Linked DNA regions of Styela clava. The protein of the gene in region 1 purifies or fractionates together with the protein of each later gene. This does not show direct contact. Links are inferred from orthologs where the notes say so. Each region holds a gene or a part of one and is shown in the gene's direction. Other genes may lie near its edges. The genes, in order: ubiquitin thioesterase ZRANB1-like and uncharacterized protein LOC120325917.

Evidence for each region.
Region 2: the proteins of ubiquitin thioesterase ZRANB1-like (region 1) and uncharacterized protein LOC120325917 purify together in Homo sapiens (affinity purification with mass spectrometry; 4 studies listed by BioGRID and IntAct, with this or other methods). This does not show direct contact. The link is inferred for Styela clava from reciprocal best matches to the Homo sapiens genes ZRANB1 and CTTNBP2NL.

What each region holds. Positions count from the first base shown.
Region 1 is NC_135258.1:20,297,473-20,308,973, forward strand, and holds the start of ubiquitin thioesterase ZRANB1-like, read left to right. Parts: upstream 1-4,033; 5' UTR 4,034-4,111; coding exon 4,112-5,102; intron 5,103-5,632; coding exon 5,633-5,823; intron 5,824-9,420; coding exon 9,421-9,574; intron 9,575-10,821; coding exon 10,822-10,893; intron 10,894-11,501. UniProt on the Homo sapiens protein: Ubiquitin thioesterase, which specifically hydrolyzes 'Lys-29'-linked and 'Lys-33'-linked diubiquitin. Also cleaves 'Lys-63'-linked chains, but with 40-fold less efficiency compared to 'Lys-29'-linked ones.
Region 2 is NC_135253.1:15,996,288-16,007,788, forward strand, and holds the start of uncharacterized protein LOC120325917, read left to right. Parts: upstream 1-4,530; 5' UTR 4,531-4,848; coding exon 4,849-4,923; intron 4,924-5,327; coding exon 5,328-5,441; intron 5,442-5,519; coding exon 5,520-5,660; intron 5,661-5,747; coding exon 5,748-5,855; intron 5,856-6,697; coding exon 6,698-6,898; intron 6,899-7,471; coding exon 7,472-7,588; intron 7,589-9,029; coding exon 9,030-9,439; intron 9,440-10,318; coding exon 10,319-11,005; intron 11,006-11,501. UniProt on the Homo sapiens protein: Regulates lamellipodial actin dynamics in a CTTN-dependent manner. Associates with core striatin-interacting phosphatase and kinase (STRIPAK) complex to form CTTNBP2NL-STRIPAK complexes.

The sequences.
Region 1 (11,501 bases):
TTTTTTTAGATTTTCCACTAGATGTCCAAAAAGTGTCAAAAAACAACAACAAAACCAACATAATATTGAAACGATCGTTATGTCCACTACGTGTCCAATAATCAAAAGCTTGCAAATACATAAACGGAGGCGATTTTTTAAAAACGGAACAATATCAAATAGTACTATAACTATCGGGCAAAACGACGTTGGAAAGAATAAAGACTTATTGATTAATCCACGGTCCACATCCATGTGTCGGTATTTCATTCCAGCATAGAAAAAATGGCAAGTACTCCTAGTGGGCGTAGCATAATGATTTTTGCATATAATATCCCCCCCCCCTCCAGCGTTCACTAATGGCAGCGATCTCTCTCTTGTCTTGTTATCGCTATGACTAGAAAACGAGAGAAATAGCTTGCTAGATTCCGGATTATCGTCTGCGGCCTGCGCGTTTTAGTTTAATAGAGCAACTTAGACTGACGACCATCTGTACCTATACTTTGGAGGGCCTTATTACTGTATACCGTACGTCACTATGACTTTTTTGGATGACGTCAGGTGGGGGTTTGGGAATGACATATGCAAAATTTGTTGAGCCAGGCTAACTGGAGGTACCGGTACCGTACTTGTGGGCGCGTACCGGTACCGGTACCGGTACTTTGGGAGACCCATCTTATCAACTTTCAGACTTTCGTACTACAGTACCGGTACTAGTTCTGTAGTTTAATAAGATACCGGTACCTGTAGCTGTACCGGTATAGCCCGGTACAGCCTGACTGCAGTAGTTAGTTAGTTACCGTACACTGTTCAGCTGTTACAGTACTGACGCATAACTTTGTGAATATACCAGAAATAGACTAGCGCCATGAACCAGTAAACCATGGCAAGAGACAGACAGACGCCGCGGTAGCCAATTTTCAGCAGACTTTGAGCGTTAGTCAGTTACCTTTACTGTTTACCGGTAGTGATTATTTTGACTTGTGGCATCTGCTCACTCTATACCGGTACCAGTACGGTAGGTACTGTCTATACCAGTACATACGGTACACTGTCACCCGCAGAGCTACAGGATCTAGGACTGTAGAGTCGCAGTTCTTACCAATTCCTGAATTCATGGCAGCTCCTGCACGAACGAACCGCGGCGTCTGTCTGTCTCTTGCCATGGTTTACTGGTTCATGGCGCTAGTCTATTTCTGAGACGCAGTTCTTACCACTTCATGGCAGCTCCTGCCACGAACGTACCACGCCGTCTCCTGCCATGGTTTTATGGCGCTATTACCGGTATATTTGCAAATTTATGTACCATATTTTAGTTTATCATGCGAAATTATATCTACTTAAACTCTAACCCTAACCCCAAATCCATCCAAACTGTATCCATAAGAAAAACATTCCAACTCACCAAATATTTATCACAATCAGCAGATTGGGGGCAGCCCTGCTATTACAGCCGACCTGCCGTGGTTACGGCAGTAAAATTGGTGGTATTCGATTTGCTGCCGTAACCACGGCAGCTCGCTATTGGTTTGTGGCAGCTAAAAAGTCAGTCCCCGTGGGTTTGGTCTTAGTGGCCGTGGTTTGGAAATCCCGCCATGGTTTTGCGGCAGCTGTAGACGCCACAAAATACTTGAAACTGCACTTGCTATTTCTGGTATATTCACAAAGTTATGCGTCTGTCTGTCTCTTGCCATGGTTTACTGGTTCATGGCGCTACTCTATTACTGGTATATTCACAAAGTTATGTACCGGTATCAGATTTTAGTTTATCATGCGGAATTATATCTACTTACTGACTTAAAACTTAAATCTAACCCCAAATCCATCAAAACTATCTTTAAAAAAATGTTCCAACTTACCGGTACCGTATTTCTTCGTGTATAATACACACTTCCGGTTCCATATTTTATCTCCCAAATTAGGGGGGCGCATTATACATTGGTATAGAAGTCTTTCAAAAAATCCTGATTGATATTTTACTCGCAATTGCCAAATACACATGTTTCCTTTCCGTCTTCTATTTATTTTATGTGACAAAGTCCGTTATAACCAGATCATGCTTGTTGCAGTAGAATCACACCCACGGAATGGACTACTGGACTATCTTGTCTAACAAAGGACAACACATCTATTTCAATAACCAGTGTATATAAGTGATAGGAACGTCACTTTAAATCGATAATTTAATTGTTGTTGTTCAGTCTGGCGTCCCTCATTTCTGTTTTGCCGTATCGGCAAAACTGAATGTTCCTAAATCATTTTTTCTCACTCGGATTTGCGGCTTGTTTCATTTCTCTCAATTTGACCAATCGGCAAACCTAACGCTCACAAATCTCTTTTCTCAACCATTTTCAAAATGCTCTAAGATAGATAACAGCACGATAATTCAAAGCCGGGTAACAGAACTCCGAGATTGACAGACACTAACGAGTTGACGTCATAAACACTTGAAACATATTATTAAATCACAGTGAAACTTGCTAGGCTGGCTTCTCGAAAATACCAAATGCGGTCGACGCAAGTGACTGAATTCGACCATGCGTATTATGCATGGAACTTGGTATTTTCATACAATCCACATCCTAAAAAAGCCCTGCGTATTATACACGGAGAAATACGGTTTGTCACCATCAGGGCCACCCCTGTCTTTAGGGCCGACCTTTCGTGGTTACGGCAGCAAAATAGCAAAAAAAGCAACAAAAAAGCTAAAACCTGTTTAGTTATAATTTTATGTAATATTGTAATATAATCATTCAATTCAGCATTTCTATTTTTGTTCAGTGGTTAATATTTCACATGCAACTTCCTGACTCCTCTCAGTCTCCAAGGATAATTGAGTCAAATATGATAGATTCCCCTCTTTCCAGTTTTTTCAAACAGTGCAACAAAAACCAGAAATCGGCAAAATTAAAAATGATGATGCAACAGTCAAATAATATTACAGAAATATTGCTCACCAGCATACTGATATATGCAGATAGCCGTGTAACATTATTAATTAAACTGTTCTGTTTTTTTTTTCATTGCTGATTATTAGTGTACTAGTTCAGTCTGATCTTAGCATGTTGTTCATTCACCTTTTTCAGTTTGCAACCCACTTTCAGACTTATTAAAACAAAACTTGAGCTTGCATATCGGATATTATCAGATCAAGACAAGGCTTGATAGGAGACAACCTCACAGGCGACATATCACTGACACTCAACACATTGTGCTTTTGGCTCAAAGTCATTTCCTGCCTCAATGAATCCACATTTAATGTAATCAGAGTCATATTCACTCACTACAACTTTTCGAGCTTTTCTTTTTTTTCTTTTACTTCGTTATCTTTTCTTTTTGTAAAATTATTCATTTTGGGACTTACAACTGTACAAGAATCAAAAAAATTTAGGGTGTTATTAAATAAAGTTTTTTACCCCTGGTTTACCCATTATTCAAAATGAAACTCATTGGACATAAGATTAACAACTACATAAATCGGCGTCTTTGCTACTTCCTGAATTCAACAAATTACAACAAATGCCTTACTTTTTTAAATGATCACTTCTATAGCAGCATAGAAAGTCACAATATACCTGTATTTTTAGTAAGCTCCCTTCACAAGCTTAGGACTGTAGGATAAAATGGACTTAGCAGTTCTGCTATCAAATGTTACATTTCACGAACAGATTCAACATATCATGGATATCTTATTTTTAACAGCGACCAAATCTGGTCCATTTCCTTGTCAGTTAGTGAGAAACCCTGGCTAGAGGTAAGATTGGGCACGAAAAATCCAGCCCCACCCGAAACGGGCCCGTGGGTATTAAACCTGACCGGGGAAAGGTCCATTAAAGCTTCTTCTCTGTTTTATTCAAATTATTTCTTTCATAACAAGTATTCCTTATTTTAGTATCCACAAATAGTTTTAGTATTTATTTTTTATAAATATATATTTATTTAAAAAAGTCAGCGATAGAGAAGCCCAACCCGAACGTAATAATTGTCATTTCAGGCCCGACCTGAACTCGGGCTTCAGATCTTAGCTCTATTCCTGGCGTAAGAATTCATTATAATTCAGTAATTTCAATGCAAATTTTTCAGATATATCCAGTTAATAAGCTTGACTATATCTGGATTTAATTAGGTGGAGATGAGCAAGTCAATAAAATGGACTTGTGGTTTGTGCACGTATGAAAATTATCCTGCGTCCCTGAATTGTGTTATGTGTTGTCAACAATGTCCCACACCTTTAATCGACGAACCTCGGTCATCTACAGACGTCATCACAAACTATCCCACAGAACAAAACTCCGTTATTCAAAGGACAAGTCTTCAAGGACTAGACCCTGCAGTAATAAGCCATGGATGCTCTGTTAACGCAGATAATTATTATGATACATTTACTAGGGAATTTGAATCCAAAGCTCGTATTACTAACGCAGATGAAATGCCATCTTTCTCCTCAAACTATAACGTGCCTGTAGATGGTGCTGGTGCAGCTTCTGCTTCTCTTAGTGACAATCAGGCAGCAAATATTGCGGATAAAAATAATGAAATTAACAAAAAATGGATTTGTACTTCATGCACTTATAACAATTGGGATAGATCAGCTAAGTGTGTCATGTGCCATTATCCCAAATTGGCTGCAAGTGATCGGATTATTGAAAATCCAATTCAACCAATTCACGAAGATGAACATAAATCATTGATTTTAAATCGCCCGAAACAAATTGTCAGAGATGAAATCACACAAGACAAACCTCGATCTGTAAACTCCAAAACCTGTAGCTCACAGCCAGGAGCTTGTGGACGACTTTGTCGAAGCTATTCTTCAAACCATGCTTTTCGTTGCCAGGACTCAATGAGCCCCACTTTAACAAATACAAGGGCATTGCATAGACATAAAAAATCTTTCAGTGAGGAAAATTTAAATAATATAATGAATGCTCAGGATTCTGCTTCTTGTCAAAGGGCAGAAAAGAAAGGGAGGCATTTTTCTAACGAAGGAGTAAGTAATACTTGGAAACATGAAGAAGCAATAGGTCATTTGGAAAAATTTACAAAAACTCGTGAACATGAACATAGATCTTGGAAAAAATCGAACAAAAGATTAAACTTGCTTTTTCTCAAAGCCTGCATAGGTGGGTAATGAACTGATATATATTTATTAGCATATGGAAATTTACAATCATTGATTAGTTTAGATTAACTAATTACATTATTTCAACTACAATTGTGGGATGAACATAATAGTTAATTCTTCAGTCACTTTTATTTCGCACCTTATTTTCATTCATAATTTACTAATCAGATGAAATCTCATTTATGGATTCTGTCAACGATTCTTGGGGTTATCATATACGTTTGAAGATATATAGTTTATTGACTTGGTTGTTGAATTTTAACACTAACAACATGTTTTATAGCCATCTGCTATATTCCTATTTTCTGAATATATTGTATAATTATTTCACGAAAAATGGTAGTCTCATATTGAGAGGGTTGTGTTCTACAAGATTTTGAAAACTACGTTAAACTGTGAATTTGGGAATGAAGGTCTCTTTGAACAATTGTACGAATTATTAGAATTATATAAAGTGGATTAGAGAATCATTATCATTAAATTATCTATTTGTATGAATCCTCATTTCATCATTTTTTTTGTGCTTAGGTATTCTTGAAGACAATATTGAAGCAGTTGATAGGTATCTAGCATATGGTGGAAATATTGCGAGACCTTTAACAGCTGATGAAGTGAGAATTTTGAACAGACCTTCTGCATTTGATGTTGGACATACTATTGTACATCTTGCCGTCAGATTTCAACGCCGCAATATCCTTGCACTTATTTTAACCCCAGAGGTAAGATATTTCTATTTTCTTATTTTAAACTTTCTTTTTTAGTATGGAAAGTAAGCAGATGAGAGAATCTGTAATATTTATAAAACAATACTATGACTACAGTTTCTGTACAAATAACAGAGCAAGGCTAAATGCTATGCTATCAGCCTATCATCTCTCTATTCGTTGATAAAACGCATCCTAAATGATATTCCTTCCCATCATGATGACAAATCTTGTGATGTTTCCAGGAGTTATAATTCAAAGCAAATATTTGTTTAAAAATATTGGAGTGTGTGTGTGTGTGTCATTGGAAGTAGTTAACTATATTTACAGTCGTTGCAGGGCTATTAAATAAGATTACATCAGCTTCTATATTAGATCGTCTATCTATAAAGATTTCGAAATGGCTACTTATTAAAAGAAGATTAAAAATTACATCGAAAAAGCTGCACAGTTTTATAATACAGACTATCAAAACGGGTTTATAGTTTAAAGTATTTCGAATTTATTTGCCAAAAATAATTCTAGCATTTCAAATTATCTAAATATGAGCATCACTATATTTTGTGTGAATTTTCTGTTTATTAACGTTACTGAGTTTCCAGATAAACTTTATTACTGTGGTTCTGTCCTGTTTGCGAGTAGAAAAATGTTGAACATTTTCAAAACTTGAATTTTCTACTGCATTAGATTACATTAAAACATGGACATTGTGTATATGTAGATACAAATTCATTATTGAATAGTTTAAATTTATTAACGAACTTGATTAAAAAATGTGGTTTTTCTAATCGAAAAGTTTATCAGCCTGTTCTCATTATCAAGTATTAAATAAATATATCAAATTAAATAAAACTGAAAAAATATTTCTTGTTATGTAAGATGTATGCTACTTAACTTATGTTCCCATGGTCACATCATACTACTTATCGAATTTCAGTTCCTTTTATCGATTCAAGTAATTACAGGGTTGATTCTGAATGTGACTCAATATTATGTTTGTGGTACATGAATGAATATTGGAACAAATTTTTCCTTATTTGTTCCTCTTGTTATTAAAAGTTTAATATTTAGATATAAAATTAGAAATCGTGAACTAAACTCCCTACATGTGATGTATGCAGTCCTACTTTTTGGAAATCTAGTGTTCTTGATAACTTGTATCAGCTCATTCGACACGTACACTCATTTAGGTTATGACATCTCAATTCATCATTGTCCGATAATTTTTCTCTGTGCCTAAAATCAGGTTTGGTGCTGGAATTGATTTGCCTATAATGACCAGTTGTCAGTATTTTAATGACAACATGTTTCTTATGGTCCAATGTATTTCTAAAATTATAAACTTGAAAATTTTATAAGCCAAATGGTCCTTACTAAATACTAACAAAAAGAACCAAAATAGTTTATAATGTTATAATCTGGATAATTTATATGTCATAATTTTTATTAGAAATAGTATAGTGATCACTTACGTTGTGTTCCAGCTGTCTGTCTGTTTCTTTCCTTGGGTATACTTAATTGCAGCACTAATTTAACGCAGGACAAAAAAAATTGTTCATATTTGGTATATTGCTTTCATTGACTAAAAGGTAACTTCAACTCGTTCAGTTACTTGATGCTACTGCACACCTTATAATATTACTTTGGGTGTAATATTAAATAATTCAAACATCTATGTTACTTGTGGTTGTGTTGTGGGATTGGTTTACATAAATGTTCGCAGTAGTGTTTTGCGATGCAATTTTATTTTACTTTTTTATGTGTGAATAGTAAGATAAATAAAAAAGCAATCTCTTTAAAATTGAGTTTCACTTCTGTACATGATTTGAATCTAGTTAATTTTCGAATTGCTATGGTTCACATTTCGTTCATTTGAGATAATTAGCTTACCGTATATTATGTGTGAAATGAGAATGGAAATTGATCAAAATTTTTGTATGAATGATATTTCTATTTATTGATTCTGTGAATTGAAAAGACATTGATGGCACAGTGTTCAGTGGAGAGTGATTACCTTATGCTAAACATAATTGTGGTTCTTTGTTCGTTTTGTTTATGTGAAAACTTATTATTCTTGATCTTATAACACTGGATCGAGTGTGGCCTTATGAACAGCTGTTGCTTTGTAAATTTTATTTCTGGACCGTGTATGAATGTTTTATAATAATATAATCACCGCTTAGCGAAGGTTACAATTTTGTTTGAAAACTTTATCCTCTCTTTTTAATGCTCTTTTAACCTTGCCAATATGTCATCGAATAATTAATGAGGTGTCAAGTGTCTCTGCTTTTTAGAAACTCATTTCTCATTCTATCTTTCTCTCTCTTTATTATGAAAGCATTTTATTGATTGTAAAGTCAGTGAAGCAAGGTACTGCTCCATCTATTTCATTAATTTAATGGCTAATTGTGTGCTATAAAAAGGTATTTTTGGTGTACTGACACATACCTGTGAACTGGTACATCATGCATTGTGTGATTGTGATAAACAAAGTCATGACTTCACCACACTGTTATTATATAAACAGATTGTATATAGTACAGATTCACAGATTGTATTTCAGTATTTTTTAAAATATACTATTTTAATAATTTCATTTTGACTCTGTGATTAAGAGGTGTTCATTAGATTGTGTTTTTAAAAACATTTAAAATATTTATTAATTGATAGAGGCAGTACGTCAATGTCCATACTATCTTATAATGAATATTGAACAAATGACCAGGTTACTGAATATAATCATATCATATCAATGGTGAAAATTAACATTCCAAAAATAATCTTGATGTATAGCTGCTTGTATAGGTAACTTCCCCTGGGAAATAGAACAAAGAACAAACAAATAGAACTGATGTAAATAATTTGCAAAAGGATGGGAATATGCTGGATTTGTTAATAAACCATGTAATAATGTCGGTCATAGTACGCACATGCTCGTAGAATTCTTTAATACCGTATTGTTTGAGGTTTACATCTTGCTTCTTTTATGGAAGTGATGGTGTAATAACAATAAATTATATTGAATAGTTACTAGTGTGTTGTGTAAGTAAATGTAAGTTATCCAGTTTAAGCTAAAAAAGTATTCAAACTATATATTGATATCAAATCTGCAGTAGAACTAAATATGCTTGTGTCACATTTTTGAGAAATTCCTATTTTGTAGTAGTAAAAATGAACATAAGCGTCTTCCTAAAATCAAAACTGGCTTTGAAACCCAGACCAAATTATGACCCGTGGTCCATAACCGCAGAAAATTGGGTACTCCTGTAGTGTGTGTACCAGGTTAGTGTTAGGCAATAATTTTATTTAGATTTTCTTTATTTTAGTCTTTTTTATTGCGAGTTGGGGGACTGTCTGTGTTAGCCAAGTGAAAAATACCCCCTGCCCATACGTTTCATTCTCTTTACACAACTTGATGTAAAATAGGCGAACAGAATTATTTACTTCCATATTGGTACACACACTCCTGGAGTGTCGAAAATTGGGAGATTAGCTAATTTGGTTTTACTGCTGCAAAATTAGTTTGATCATCCTGTAAACGTAAATTTACTTTTCACAATGTCTCTAATGTAGTTTTCATTGAAATCACAATATTATTCTTTTTGTTTCCAGGTCACCAAGAGAAATTTGAAACGAAGTCCAGCCATATTATGTCCAGAAATTGCAGATCATATTCGCCATGAAATTTTACAAAGTATCCGAATGATGAAAGGCGATTTTCACTGTCAATATTTTTGTGATTATTTAACTTTTCTTTTGCCAATTGGTGAGTTTGATATGATCATATTTAATTCTATAAATAAAATTATAAACAAATTATTTAAAATTTGAATGAGTCAATACAGGTCAAAATAAAATACAAAGGTTTCAATTTGAACAAGGAAATTCCACATGAAAAAATTTAAAATTGGTCATAAGAATACTTTTGAATACCTCTTATATCAATTTAAAATAAAGTGACTTAATTATCAAAAATTTACATTTGGTACCAAAGTTTTCTTCGTAACAGCCAGAGCTGGGAAGCTGACAGATTGGAGTATATTCAAATGGTGGCTTCAGAACCAAACTGAAGCTTAATTTTTTAAACTTTACTCTAAGTATCAGCCCAAATGCAGTTATATGGCATTGGACTGAAAACTAAGATTTAGGAGTTTCAAATTTTAAAATCAAACTTCAAGTTTTTAATTTTCCAAATTCAAATTGAAGTTTTTAGATTAACATCTGACATAAAACTGAAAAAGGATAGATTTTGATATTTGTATGAAGTTATAGAAAATTATAAATGTAAACTAGTAATACATGTCCTAAGTGATCTTGCTGCACACTAACTCAAATATATTTCTGTAACGTTGCATCTAACTAAGGTCAGACTTCCTCAGACAAACTTCATTTATTAACAACCTATTTAAACCTCTCGGAGATGTTCCTGTAGTTACAAACTGCTTCAGGCTTAGTTCATGGATGTGTAAACATTTTTCTTCAGATTGTTGAAATCCTTTGTGGTATTTGTAAATGCAATGCAGTTGATGAGTTGGGAATAAGTAAGATCCATTTTCAGATACAGGAGTCTTGCAATGTGTCAACTTGTTGAATAATGTTTGTCTAAGAAAGACTGACATTAGTTAGATGCAACGTTACAGAAATATATTTGTGTTAGTTAGTGCAGCGTGAATCTTGAATCACTTACAATAGTTAGTTTCACTCTTGCTATAGCATCCTTGCATTATATGCATACGGATTCACGACACAAAAGCATAGAAGAAGGATAATTATTAGTTAGTCCCGTAGAAACCCAATCGACCAATTGATAGCACAAATAATACCTGGTTAGTAAATGCGGCCACCAAAAGTTTTGACAGCTCTAGCCTAGCTCAAATACAATCTCATGACTCTAGCACTCTTCCCAGCTCTGGTAACATCAGGCTTTCACTCAATCAATGTTATGCTATTTAAATTGATATCATGCTTCCACAATTTAATTTTGATTATGATGCCAATTTAATAATTTTACAGAGATTGCTGGTTTACCAAGTTCAATACAAAGATTACTTTTTGATGAACTATTAGACAAAGATGTGCAAAAAGGTGAGAAATTTTAAGGCTTTAAAATATACGATTTTATTCATATGTAGCTTATATTTATTATATTTAACACATGGGTTACCTATGTAGCATGGGTGGACCATACTAGAGTGAGAATACTGAATCACTTAGGTGATTTTGTATTGCAAACATAGTCATCATGATACATCATACATGTCAAATGACTTGATACCAATCATTATTTCACAGCATTAAAATAAAACGTAGTTTTGATTTGATGAGTTTTCGTGAATATCATATTCATAACAAATTATTTACCTCGTTATTTTTTGTTTGTTTGACAAAATCTAAAGACTTTACTACCAAAATATTACAAACATTACATATCTCATTTCTATCGCTATTTTAGAATAAAAAAAATAATAGAAGCTGCATATTTACTGGATTTCTTGATTATGCCATTTATACTAATTAAAACCATTTCCTTCTTTTCAACCAGGGTCAAATTTATTATAGATAGGCATTATTAGTATGTTTTAATAATTTTTATCAGAAGTAGAATGTTTTAGTCAGTAATTCAAATAAGACAATTCATATACATAAGTGTATGACCTAATTACAAATACGTGTCTGATATCTGATGCATTTTT
Region 2 (11,501 bases), on another chromosome or scaffold:
TTACGAGGAAGAGAATGAACCAATTTTTCTTTCAATTCCTTCCGCCGTTTTCCCTTAAGTCGGATTGATTTAATACCAACGTGATACCTATTTCCCGAATACCTAACATGGAACATGCGGAGGTCTCTGCGATAGGATACTACAGAAATTTTGCGACAGCAACCTGTGAAGCAACAATGCCCACTGCAAGCAAAAATACGATTTGCCAATATTCCAGAATTTACTGTGTGCCATCGAAATGCATATGAACAGTAAGGGTCACTCTCTTTGATAGCTTTTCTAAAAACATCAGCCCAATTAGAATTTTTTATTTTTCGCCCAGCAACGGAGTTGAAAAGACTGTTCCAATTTTTGGTGTTCATTTTAAATTTTGCATTTTTTATTGGATTTTCACGTTTCCAAATACCATGGGCTTGCACTGAGCTTTGCGCACCTACATCAAAATCAGTTCCATGCGCGTCTAAAAATATGTATGAATTGTTACTAACCTGCTTCAATTTGTTATCACAGCTCTCTTCCAGGGACGTAGGCAGTGTGCTTTCTTTTTTAATTGCTAATTTTAATTTCAGAATGAAAATCAGAAGAATGGTCATCCCTTTTGGTATTTTTAAATTCTCCATCGCCTGATGTGTACGGAAATGAATTTTCATTGATTTTCAGTTTTTTTGAGTTATTGTTCCAAAAATGTCGCAATTTTCGAATATAATTTTTCAATTCACCTTTGGCAATTTTTTTGTTCCAAATTAGTTTTGCTAATTTGCTCCAGTCTGCTCGGGAATTTGGATTAAATGATCCCATATCATTTATTGCAGTTACCAACGACTGAGTTGACAATTTGTTTTTGGAAAACACACCGCCCGGCTGTTTATAAATTAAAGAAGGGTAAGAATTTTTATCAGGCGAAGATGATCTCTGTAACTTCTTCCGTGGAATGGGACAATTACTTTTAACTTTATCAGAGCTACTAAAAGAGGGAGGAGGAGAAAAAAGACCTGCTAGTATGTTTTGGCCGCATAGTAATATCAGAAATAGCCCCAGTAGAAACGACAGAAGTAGTGAAAGATGAGGCCGTAGAGACCTTTCGGCGATGTTGTTTTGACAAAGAAGTAGTGTGAAGAAGACAAAATGAAGAGTCTGAACGTACATCATTTGTACGGGCCACAATTTGACGAGATTGGCCCGCCGTCTTCTTCATTGGTACAATCTTCTGAGCAATTTTCGTCTTCGTTGCCCGTCTACTCTTCACAATCTTAAAATCGCCGGAAACGTCAGACGACGACTTTCCCAGAGTTGGGCTCCTTGAAATGATGGTTTCGGAGCCGCACGGTGCAGAAGAATTGGTCTTCAAATATGATGAAACGGGTTCGATAACCACGTCTGGACAGGCTTTACGAAGTCCACGAGAAAGTACAGCTGCGTAAGATGGTCGGGAATGAGAGGAACGCAAACATGGCGCTGGTTGCAAAGAAACTGAAGTTTTTGGCCGAGCAACCACACTGGCATAGAACACCAAAGATACGGGGGGTGGGTGGGACTGAGTGCTGAAGGATGAAACAGAGTCGAAGATGAAGGGCTTCCAGATGATATTTTTCCTTCGTCGAGAAATCGATCTACTAGAAGTAGGGATTAATTTTGTCCCAGTTCCAACAGAAGAACCTACAGCGGGGAAATCATTCTTCAAAAACAAGGAAAAGTCATACATACATATGCTTTCAGTAGTTATTTGTGTAGATTCGGGATTTTTGTCTAAAAATAATTTTTGTTAGCATATGTTAACATTTGCACGAATCATCATTATAATTTCAATACATTACACTGTGTAAAACTCATTTTGTTACCGGCTTCTAATAATTATTTTTTGATTCATTACGCCACAATAACTGGAAAAAACGAACAATATTTTCATAAATATCTTATCTAAAAGTGGGGCACGTCATTGGAAAGTGCAGTATTTTTGGGTGCAATACCGATATTTAGTGATTTTGATGTAAAATTCTTGTTTGGGCCATGTTTGAGAAGATATTATTATAGGTTCCCCCATACAAATTTTATAAAACTTGGATCGAGATGACTTTACAATATTCTCTTTCGAGATATCTTATCTAAAAGTGGGGCACGTAATCGAAAAGTGCAGAATTTTTGGGTTTAATACCGATATTTATTGATTTCAATGTAAAATTCTTGTTTGGGCCATGTTTGAGAAGATATTATTATATCTTCCCCCCATACAAATTTTATGAAACTTAGTTCGAGATGACTTTACAATATGCTCTTTTGAGATATCTTATCTAAAAGTGGGGCCCGTCATCGGAAAGTGCAGAATTTTTGGGTGTATTACCGATATTTAGTGATTTTGATGTATAATTCTTGTTTGGGCCATGTTTGACAAGAAATCATATCATTTTTCCGACATACAAAGTCTATTAAACTTTGATCGAGATGATGGTATTATGTGTTTTCCTTTTTATCACTTTTATAAATGTGGCCGGCAATTGAAAATTACGAAAGTTTACGTGGAATACGGAAAGCAGTGATTATAATCGGTCATAAATCTGGCAACTGAATTTCACCCAGCATTCATATTTTCCGCAGCTTGTTTTATACGCAATGTTAAATCGTTTTCTGGCAACCCTATTCTACCGTTCCTAAAACGAGAGAGATGTCTGCTAGGGTAACTTTGGTATTCAATGGATATAAATTGGACTATATATGATACAAAACTCCGGTAATGGTATGGTTTTATATTTTAATTGTTACATATATTATTGAACTTGTGGGCAATGTGTTTTGAAATTATGAAATTGTTTAATTGGGTGCAAATTATACTAATTCGACAATAAAATTAATATACGAAAATTCCGTTTGGCAATGGAATTTATTTGGCAAAAAAAAAGAAAAAAAAAAGAAATTTGGCTGTGTGGTTCAAAATATGTTATGTAGCTTCAGTCCAGTTAGTTGCTTGTAGTACGGTAGTAGTTCTACGGTACGGTACGGTAAATGGAAGACAGACAGGGGTCTGGTATAGTTTAGTACCACACGTACTTCAAGTTGACCTGGCTCGACAATTTTTGCATATGTCAATCCTAACCCCCACCTAACTACGTCACTGAAAAATTACGTCATTTCGACGTCACAGTGGCGTATTACTGTATTATGGCCCACCAAAGTATGCGGATGGTCGTCCAAAACGCGCAGACGATCACCCGAAATCGAGCAAGCTATTTCTCTCGATAGCTCGCCACAACGATCACGATAGGAGAGAGATCGCCGGCGTTAGCGAGTTCGTTACCGGCGGCGCATATGCCATTTCGGGCGATGTTAATTATACTTTGGCAAGCCCTATGACGCGATGGTGACGTCGTAGTGACGTATTTTTTGGTAGCATAGTCAGGTAGGGGTTAGGAATAACATATGCAAAATTCATTATGCTACGCCCACTGGAAGTACTTGTGGTACTAAACTATACTAGACCCGACAGACAGTCGAGACAAGTCAAGTTTATTTCATCATGTCATAGAGCTTGCTAAATACTCGTACGATCGCCTGAAATGGCATTGGCGCTGACGATAAAGAACTGACCAACGTCAGCGATCTCTCTCCTGTCCGGATCGTTGCGACGAGAAAACGAGAGAAATGACTGTTCGATTTCGGGTTTTCTGCGCGTCTTGGATGACAGTTTGAAGCATAGTTTGAAGTGCTCTATTACGTCACTGTGACGTCGAAGTGACATAAGCCGAGAAAAACCATTGTTGGATTACATTTACCTCAAATGTTGAGGAACTTATAAAAAACGAGAGAAATGACTGTTCGATTTCGGATTCTCGTCTGCGCGTCTTGGATGACAGTTCGCATAGTTTGAAGTGCTCTATTACGTCACTGTGCCGTCGTAGTGACGTCATTTTAGGATGGTGTGGTCAGGTGGGGGTTAGGATTGACACGTGAAAAAATTGTTATGCTACGCCTACTAGAAGTACGTTAGGTACGAAACTACATGAGACCCGAACCGCAGTACCGTAAATTCCGATGAAATTTTTCATTGCGTACCGGTATATTGAATAAATTGTTTCCTATTTTGCTTTCGTCAATAACCATTTTCTGATTGTATAGTTGTAGTAAGTCGAGATAGGCTATATATGAATCTGCCGTCATATTCAGTTCATTTATACCATGTAATTTATTTTATGATGTTAACTTACTTTTTTTAGCATAAAAATAGACACGTATCTTTCTTACAACTCAAATTAATGTTTTTGTATAACCGCTACAATAAAACCTGAAAACAGTAAAATGTAGTTGGACTCAAAATTGTGATATAGAGTTTCAGTTTTAAATTAAAGTCTTAACTTTTAATTATACAAATTCAACATTCAAATCAATACTGCAATATTAGAAATTAAATATTGAAAAATAAGTAATGAGGATGGCCTAGTCGTGTTTTTAATTTTTTATTAACCTCATGTTTTTCTGGTTATAGGATTATTTACACAGTCAAATGAATCCCCTCCACCATTGAATAAACAAATTTGAATGAAAACCTTTTTTATTTCCATTTCAGTTTTGTTTCTTGCATTAGGCGGAGTCAAAATTGTTATAAATTGATCTAGACTCAAAAAGGGTGGGCCAATGGTGATAAAAGCGTAAGGTGGAGTGTGACAAATTTCACATATAAAGCTTGAAGAGTATCAATGCTGTCGTATGTCTCTAATAATTCGATCATTGCTGAGTACAATATCCTCGTAAGCCGAGAAAAACCATTGTTGGATTACATTTACCTCGAATGTTGAGGAACTTATAAAAAATGAAGGATGTATGAATGAATTCAGTGGATGATCCTAAAATAAGAAAATCATGAATGAAAACCAGAACAATGCGATTTCTGAGTGTGAAAGCAGTGAAACCAGACTGGTGAATAATAATCCGCAGGTATGAAAACTAAACTTTCTAATAATTTTTCTTATTTACCTGGTTACTTCTGTATTTTTATTGCATAGTTTTCCGTGCTAATTTTGGTTGCCATGTGCTTATTTCTTATTTTCTTGTTTTATTGTGGCAAGATAGTACAGTAAAATAGTTGATAGTTTCGTAATCTAAATTTTATGTGAGTCCATATTTGCTAGTTCAATCGTTTTGTTTAATAACTTATTGAATTGTTTTTCCACCTCTCAATTTTAAATTGACTTGGCTTGAGTGGAAAATGTTAAATGACCTAATAAGACGCCAACTTTCAAACATAGAAGCAAAATCTATCAAATTTTTTATGAGCATGTCGAAATAAGTTGAACTACTTTATAAATAATCATATAACCATAGAGCTTGACTAATTGCAGATAAAAAAGAAAGGGATGAATCTGTTGAAAAAGAGCAAGCATGATCTTCTTCGATTACTCAGTATATTAGAAGGAGAATTAGAAGCTAGAGATATCTTTATATCTGCCTTACAGGTATGTAATTCAAGTTAACAAGTTTTTTGTTCACATACCAGTGGAAGTACATAACAATATTTTTATCACTGAATTCAGGCTCAACTCACCAACCAGCGTAATGCGAGACAGCAGTATTTTGTACATCGACTGACTGATCCATTTCTATCATTACACAGAGATGATTATGTTGCTGGAAATTCTACAAATGATGATGAGAATCGGTATTATAATGAACAGGTCATCATTTTTGTTTTGTTTCCTTCAGACTATATTTTACTTTCTGTTTTATTTCTATTTGTAAATGGATTAATTCTGTTGTTTTAGGCCTTTATCGAGCCATTACCACTTCTTGAAAAAGTTGTCTATCAATTCAAATCTCAGCAACAGAAAATGCATCAACAAATGTCTCTTGCAAGCAAGATACATAGAAAAGTAAGTTAAATTTCTGTTTTAAACCATATATGAACGGGACATACTAATGTACTATGTTTAACCTATATCTACGTTACTCAGCAACTGACTGTTTAATATTTGAAGTTTACATTGAGATTGTAAGAAATCCATGATGACCAGTGTTCCCTCTAAAGTGTGCGCGTCTGCTCGCGCACACAGCTTCCAGAGGCCGCGCACACGCATAGATTTACTGCGCACAGACGTATTTCGATGTAATGTAACAATGTGCTTGGTTGGCAGGTTGAGAAAGTTTGTTGTTGGCCCACTTATTACCCGGTTAGAACGCCAAAATTTCTTCATTGGTTTTTGCACAAATATTAGTCTTTTCCGAAAAAGTGTGCACACACCAAAATTTCTGCGCACACATACTACAAAAAATTAGAGGGAACATTGATGATGACCATGCCATGTGCTGATATTATTCATTTTATATAATATTCTTTTTATACAATACATTTATGGTATAATTTTCATTATTCTGTTTCAGAGAAGTACCGGCGTATCGTTACAGGAGTACTAATACCATTTAATGTTCAAAAGACCCACATTTTTTTAAGTTATCTAAATTGCAATCAAATCATTGTATATCACAAATAAAATTTGAAATACATTTTTTTCAAAGCGTCATTAAAATTAATTTTTGGCAAAATGCTGCCGCTACATGTCTCATATCTAAGATGATTGTTATTTCTTCTGATGATTGAGATCAATTTGTTTATTTTATTATCTCATTGTTTGACGTAAATCATATTCAAGGATCAAGTGTGTTATTTTAACTTTGCCACATTAATTCTATTATACAAGCAAATTTTTACTTTCAGATGGCTCATGAATTGGCTGAAGAAAAACGTAAACATGCTGCTGATACAAAGACAGGCGATGACGTAACTATGGCTCTTGAGAAAGAGAGAGAAAGACTCAATGCCAGTGTTTTATGTGAAAAAGAGAGAACAAAACGAATTGAAGGAGAATATAGAAAACTGCTCGGTTTATGCAAAGAAGAGAACACAAAACATAAAATGGTAAAAATCGAATAAATTTTAATATGAGTGACTAATCAATCAGTAAAAGTTTCTTAAAGTAATTTGCCTGTAATACAATTTATCATTGATCACTCTGTTGCGATAATTGAGATGATTTGTTCTGACTTCTTTTCACTTTAATGCTATTATGAAACAGTGTTAAGTTCTCGAACCTCGAAGTCGAGTCATATGCTATCAGAGTGAAGTCAACCACTGAATCTAATCACACTGGCGTTTAGTTGTTGGTGGGTCCGAGTAATTCCATTTAGAAGGCTTGACTCACTTTGAGTCTTTGCTGGATAGTGATTCGAGTTCAATTTGAGTTGAGTCAACCCCAATTTTAATAAAATAACTGCCCCTTTTCAAAATTCTAAAATGGGTTGGGACCTATAATGACAGCTGGTAACATCCTGAATAGATTCAATTTTGGTGTCAAATGAAATTTATATGTTTTATTCATTTTATATATTTATTTATTTTAATTCATATATTATTATGTAATGAATTTTTATTGTGTACTGCATAGTTGAATCCATGTTGTTCACTGATCGTTTGCTATCTTTTACTGTTAAGATTGTTGTATCGTTATTGGCTGAACAAGAAAGGTTGCGACAACAATTAACAGAATCTAAAGAATTACAAATTGATATAGATTCAACAGAAACAGAATTACAAGCAAGATTACATCAGGTAACTGACCTAAAATTAATTAAATAAAGATAAATTGTTCTTTGGTAAAACGTTAAGACATAGTATTTTTTATTTGGATTTTTGAAATCGTTGATTCAGGGATGTCCAAAACAAATTGAATACATTCAAAATTCATTATATTGGATATAGTAAATTTTTGAATTTAGGAATTTAGAACATTTTTATTTAACATTAGGGCTTTTGAGCTGTCAGACAAGTTTATCAAAATGTACCATATCTCAACTTGTAGGAAACAACACATAGAAAACAATGACCTTTTATATCTGTGTCATTTCAGATGTGATCAACATGAACTTGCTCCCAATTTAGAATGTATTGAATATTTCATATACGAAAATATTTTCTAGAATACAGTCGAAATAGTGATATATTTGGTTTTGGCCATCCCTGGTTAGATTTATTAGTACTTGTTATTCAGTAGAAAGTTTGTTTATGACTCCAATGAATAATACCATAGCGGGCGTATATAAAGATGTAATAAATGATGTAAAAAAACCTAAATAAACACTCGCTAAAGTAAAACAAACCTGGTTGAGATATATTGAGAACTGACTCCATTGGACAAAACTGAAATTGTGACAGGACTTATGAACACTCTGTATATTCTAGATTATTATATAGATATAAGATTCTATAATTTGGCTAATGGTGTGAGCTAGGTTAGTTGAATTATTCATCATTTACCAGAATTGACATGCGAATTCCAAATTATGTTTATGTCTGTCCTTCAGATAAGCATTTGGAATTCTGTCATATTATGACTTGAACTATGGCATTTAAACTCAGAATTTTGCAATATCTTTCATATCAGATTGTAACAATATTCAATTTTAATTGTTGTTTATTTATCCATTGTCTGGTAAAATTGTGATTTAGAATGATATCTGATAAAGCCATCAATGACCTCAGTCCTTGATGCATTTTTTGATTCTATCCCATTCAATTTATGCTCTGGTGTAATTATAGCTTTTGGTTAGTTGTATCTTCTTATTTACTTATCAACATGTTTGCTTCTAGTTGTGGAGGAATTGACTTTAGTGTAGGTCGCGAGTTCTCGTTTGAAAATTTATCGTCCCAAGCATTTGACATCTGATGCCCAGACATAAAACAACAACTTAGTTTTACTGTAAAACCTACACTATAAAAACAACAAATCAAAACAATGTTTATTTGAAACTTTCTACATTGCCAAATTTTATATCAGTGAATTCACAATATTTTATAATTCTGTGTTGATTGGGACCCAGTTTAGAATAAATAAAATACGCTATTCCATAGTTGTAGCTATTATTTCAAAATTTATTTGGAATAGTACCGTAAGTTATTGGTTTTGGACATCTCTCTAATCTTAATGTGACTCATGGTTTTATACAAATCTGTCAAATTTATTATTCAAATTGAATTGCCAACTTCATAATAGGCTTTGAAAGAGAAACAAGACCTGGCAATCAAGTTAAAAGAGGAACAAAACCGCTGTAGCAGTTTGAAATTACAAATGCGTATTTTACAAGAAAAATCAACTCAGAGAAACTTAAATCAAACAACGAACTCAGCTAAAACCGCACTTGAACATGCTACGGAATTATACTCCTGCGGTGATTCAGAGGAGAGTATGACACCTGAACTACCTATAAAAATGTGCAAAGCACAATCTTTTACATCATCTTTGGATTCTAACACTGAGAGAGATATGGATACAGTAGCGCACTTTTTTGCTAAGCATCATCCAATGAGTGTGGCACAAAATACACAAGATGTAACTCTCATACCAACCAGCAGTCACCCACCCATTTTACTGGCAGATGGTGTGGAGGGGGTTACGACATCAGGGTACGTTTTTTTTTCAGATTTATAAACTAACAATGGGCATTTTAAGTTTTTACTTACAGCATTTGGTTTATCAAAGATTCAAAGTATTGACTAGCATTATATTTTGTCCATTATATTTCATGTATGGAAATTTTATCTTCAAATATTATTATCTTTTAGGAAACGGGCTCACATAGTTTTCTATACTTTCAGTTTTTCAATTTCAATCAGGGATAAATAAAGTCTTATTCTGATGAATACTTAATATGTTGTGTCCCAGTTGTCCCTAACCTTATTTTGGTCATATTGAATTCTGTTGTGCTTGAAGCAACAGTGCACAAGTTACCATACATATACTCCCAGACCAGCTTTAAACAATTCAATTACTGGCTGTGGATTTGAAGTTTGTGGTGATTCGATAGAATTCGTTATTTTTAAAATTGATCTTTAACAATACCGTTTTTTGTGTAATAAACTTACTGGAAACAATGAGCTGCGTTTTATCCCTAAGGTTTTAACTGCGTCTAAAATTGGATAAAATATACTTCAGGTCTTGGTCAGTGTGATAAAATACTAGACATTATTTAACAGTATAACATAGCTACAATTTGGTATCCATTAGTTGCGAAATGCCAATATCATCATTTTTCTAGATATTACGTCATGAAACTTGCACAATTTCAATGTTATATACATGTATGATTGTACGTGATACAGGCCCATATAACATTATGTCAAGGTAGTAATTATGGTACTCCATATGGAAATTATCTGAATCATTGTTATTGAGGTTTAAAATGCATTTGAAGCAGTTAAATGGTTCAATTTTAATGCTTGATTAAGCCTGTTTCAAAAATCAATATGAATTTCCGCTGAATAATTATTCTATCATTTTTATAGGTATTACAGCGTCAAGCCAGGTTCCACAATCGCTGGTTTGGAAGCAATGAGATCAACTGCACAAAGTAAAGAAATCCTGAAAATGGAATATTGTAATAATAATAATGATACCTCTGATAAATCCAAAGAGATAAAACAAAATATAGTGTACACTGATATGCTCAGTGATAAAACTGCCGAATCTCTATCCCTTAATCTGAAACCCCAACCTCCGAGTGTCACTGTCCCACCCAAGCCGAATCGATTCGTCCCTGGATCACCCCATTATTCACCTTTTCGTAGTCCACAAACATTGTTTAATGAGAAGACCCATTCGCCTATGACTTCGTCACCCACGTCCGGAGCTGCAAATTTTGCAATGAACTCACCAAATGCACCCACTCCACCTCATGGGTCGCCATTTTCAATCACTCGGACACCTTCGGTGAAAGGCCCCCAAAAATTTACGCCTTCTAAATTAGATACCCCTGTAAAATTATCCGACTGGGCATTGAAGAATTCATCACCGGGAAGGACTCCTATAAAATCATCGCCAAATCCTAAATTTCAAGCCACAAGATTGAAGTTTCAACAAAATAATGGGATAGCTTTAAAATCAACAGATTCTGAATTAATTAAGCCAATGAAAGAAAGTTTAGTGACAGAGAAGAAAATTCAGACTAAAAAGTTTTCTCCTGTCAATTATAAGTGAGTACATCTATTTGTTTTTCTTCTCTTTAACTTGAAAATTTGTATTTTGCTTCATGGATCACCCATCCAAGTCAAATTCACCCATTTACGAACCCACGCTCTGTAAATTTGTACATTTTGGTTATAGTATCTTTACGAGTCTAAATTATGTAATACCGAAACTAAAAAATCAGCAATTTTGACAATTCTTGAAATCTGATCACATGGTTTCAATATAAATATGGCGATTCTTAATTGTGTATTTGTGAGACTCGAAAAATTGTATTCTGCTTTCACTTTCTCTAATCGCTTCTTCTGATATAAAAGGTGTTCATAAAATCACGTATTGAACTTGATAAAATAACTTTAGTTTGTTCCATGCGACGAATGATGGACATATAAAGGAGTTTTCTTATTGTATTTGCCAATTTGAGAAGTAAAATTTACCCCTTAACCCTGCGGACTGTCTTATTCCAGTGTGTAAGCATGATAAATTGCGAAAAATGTGTCGCTA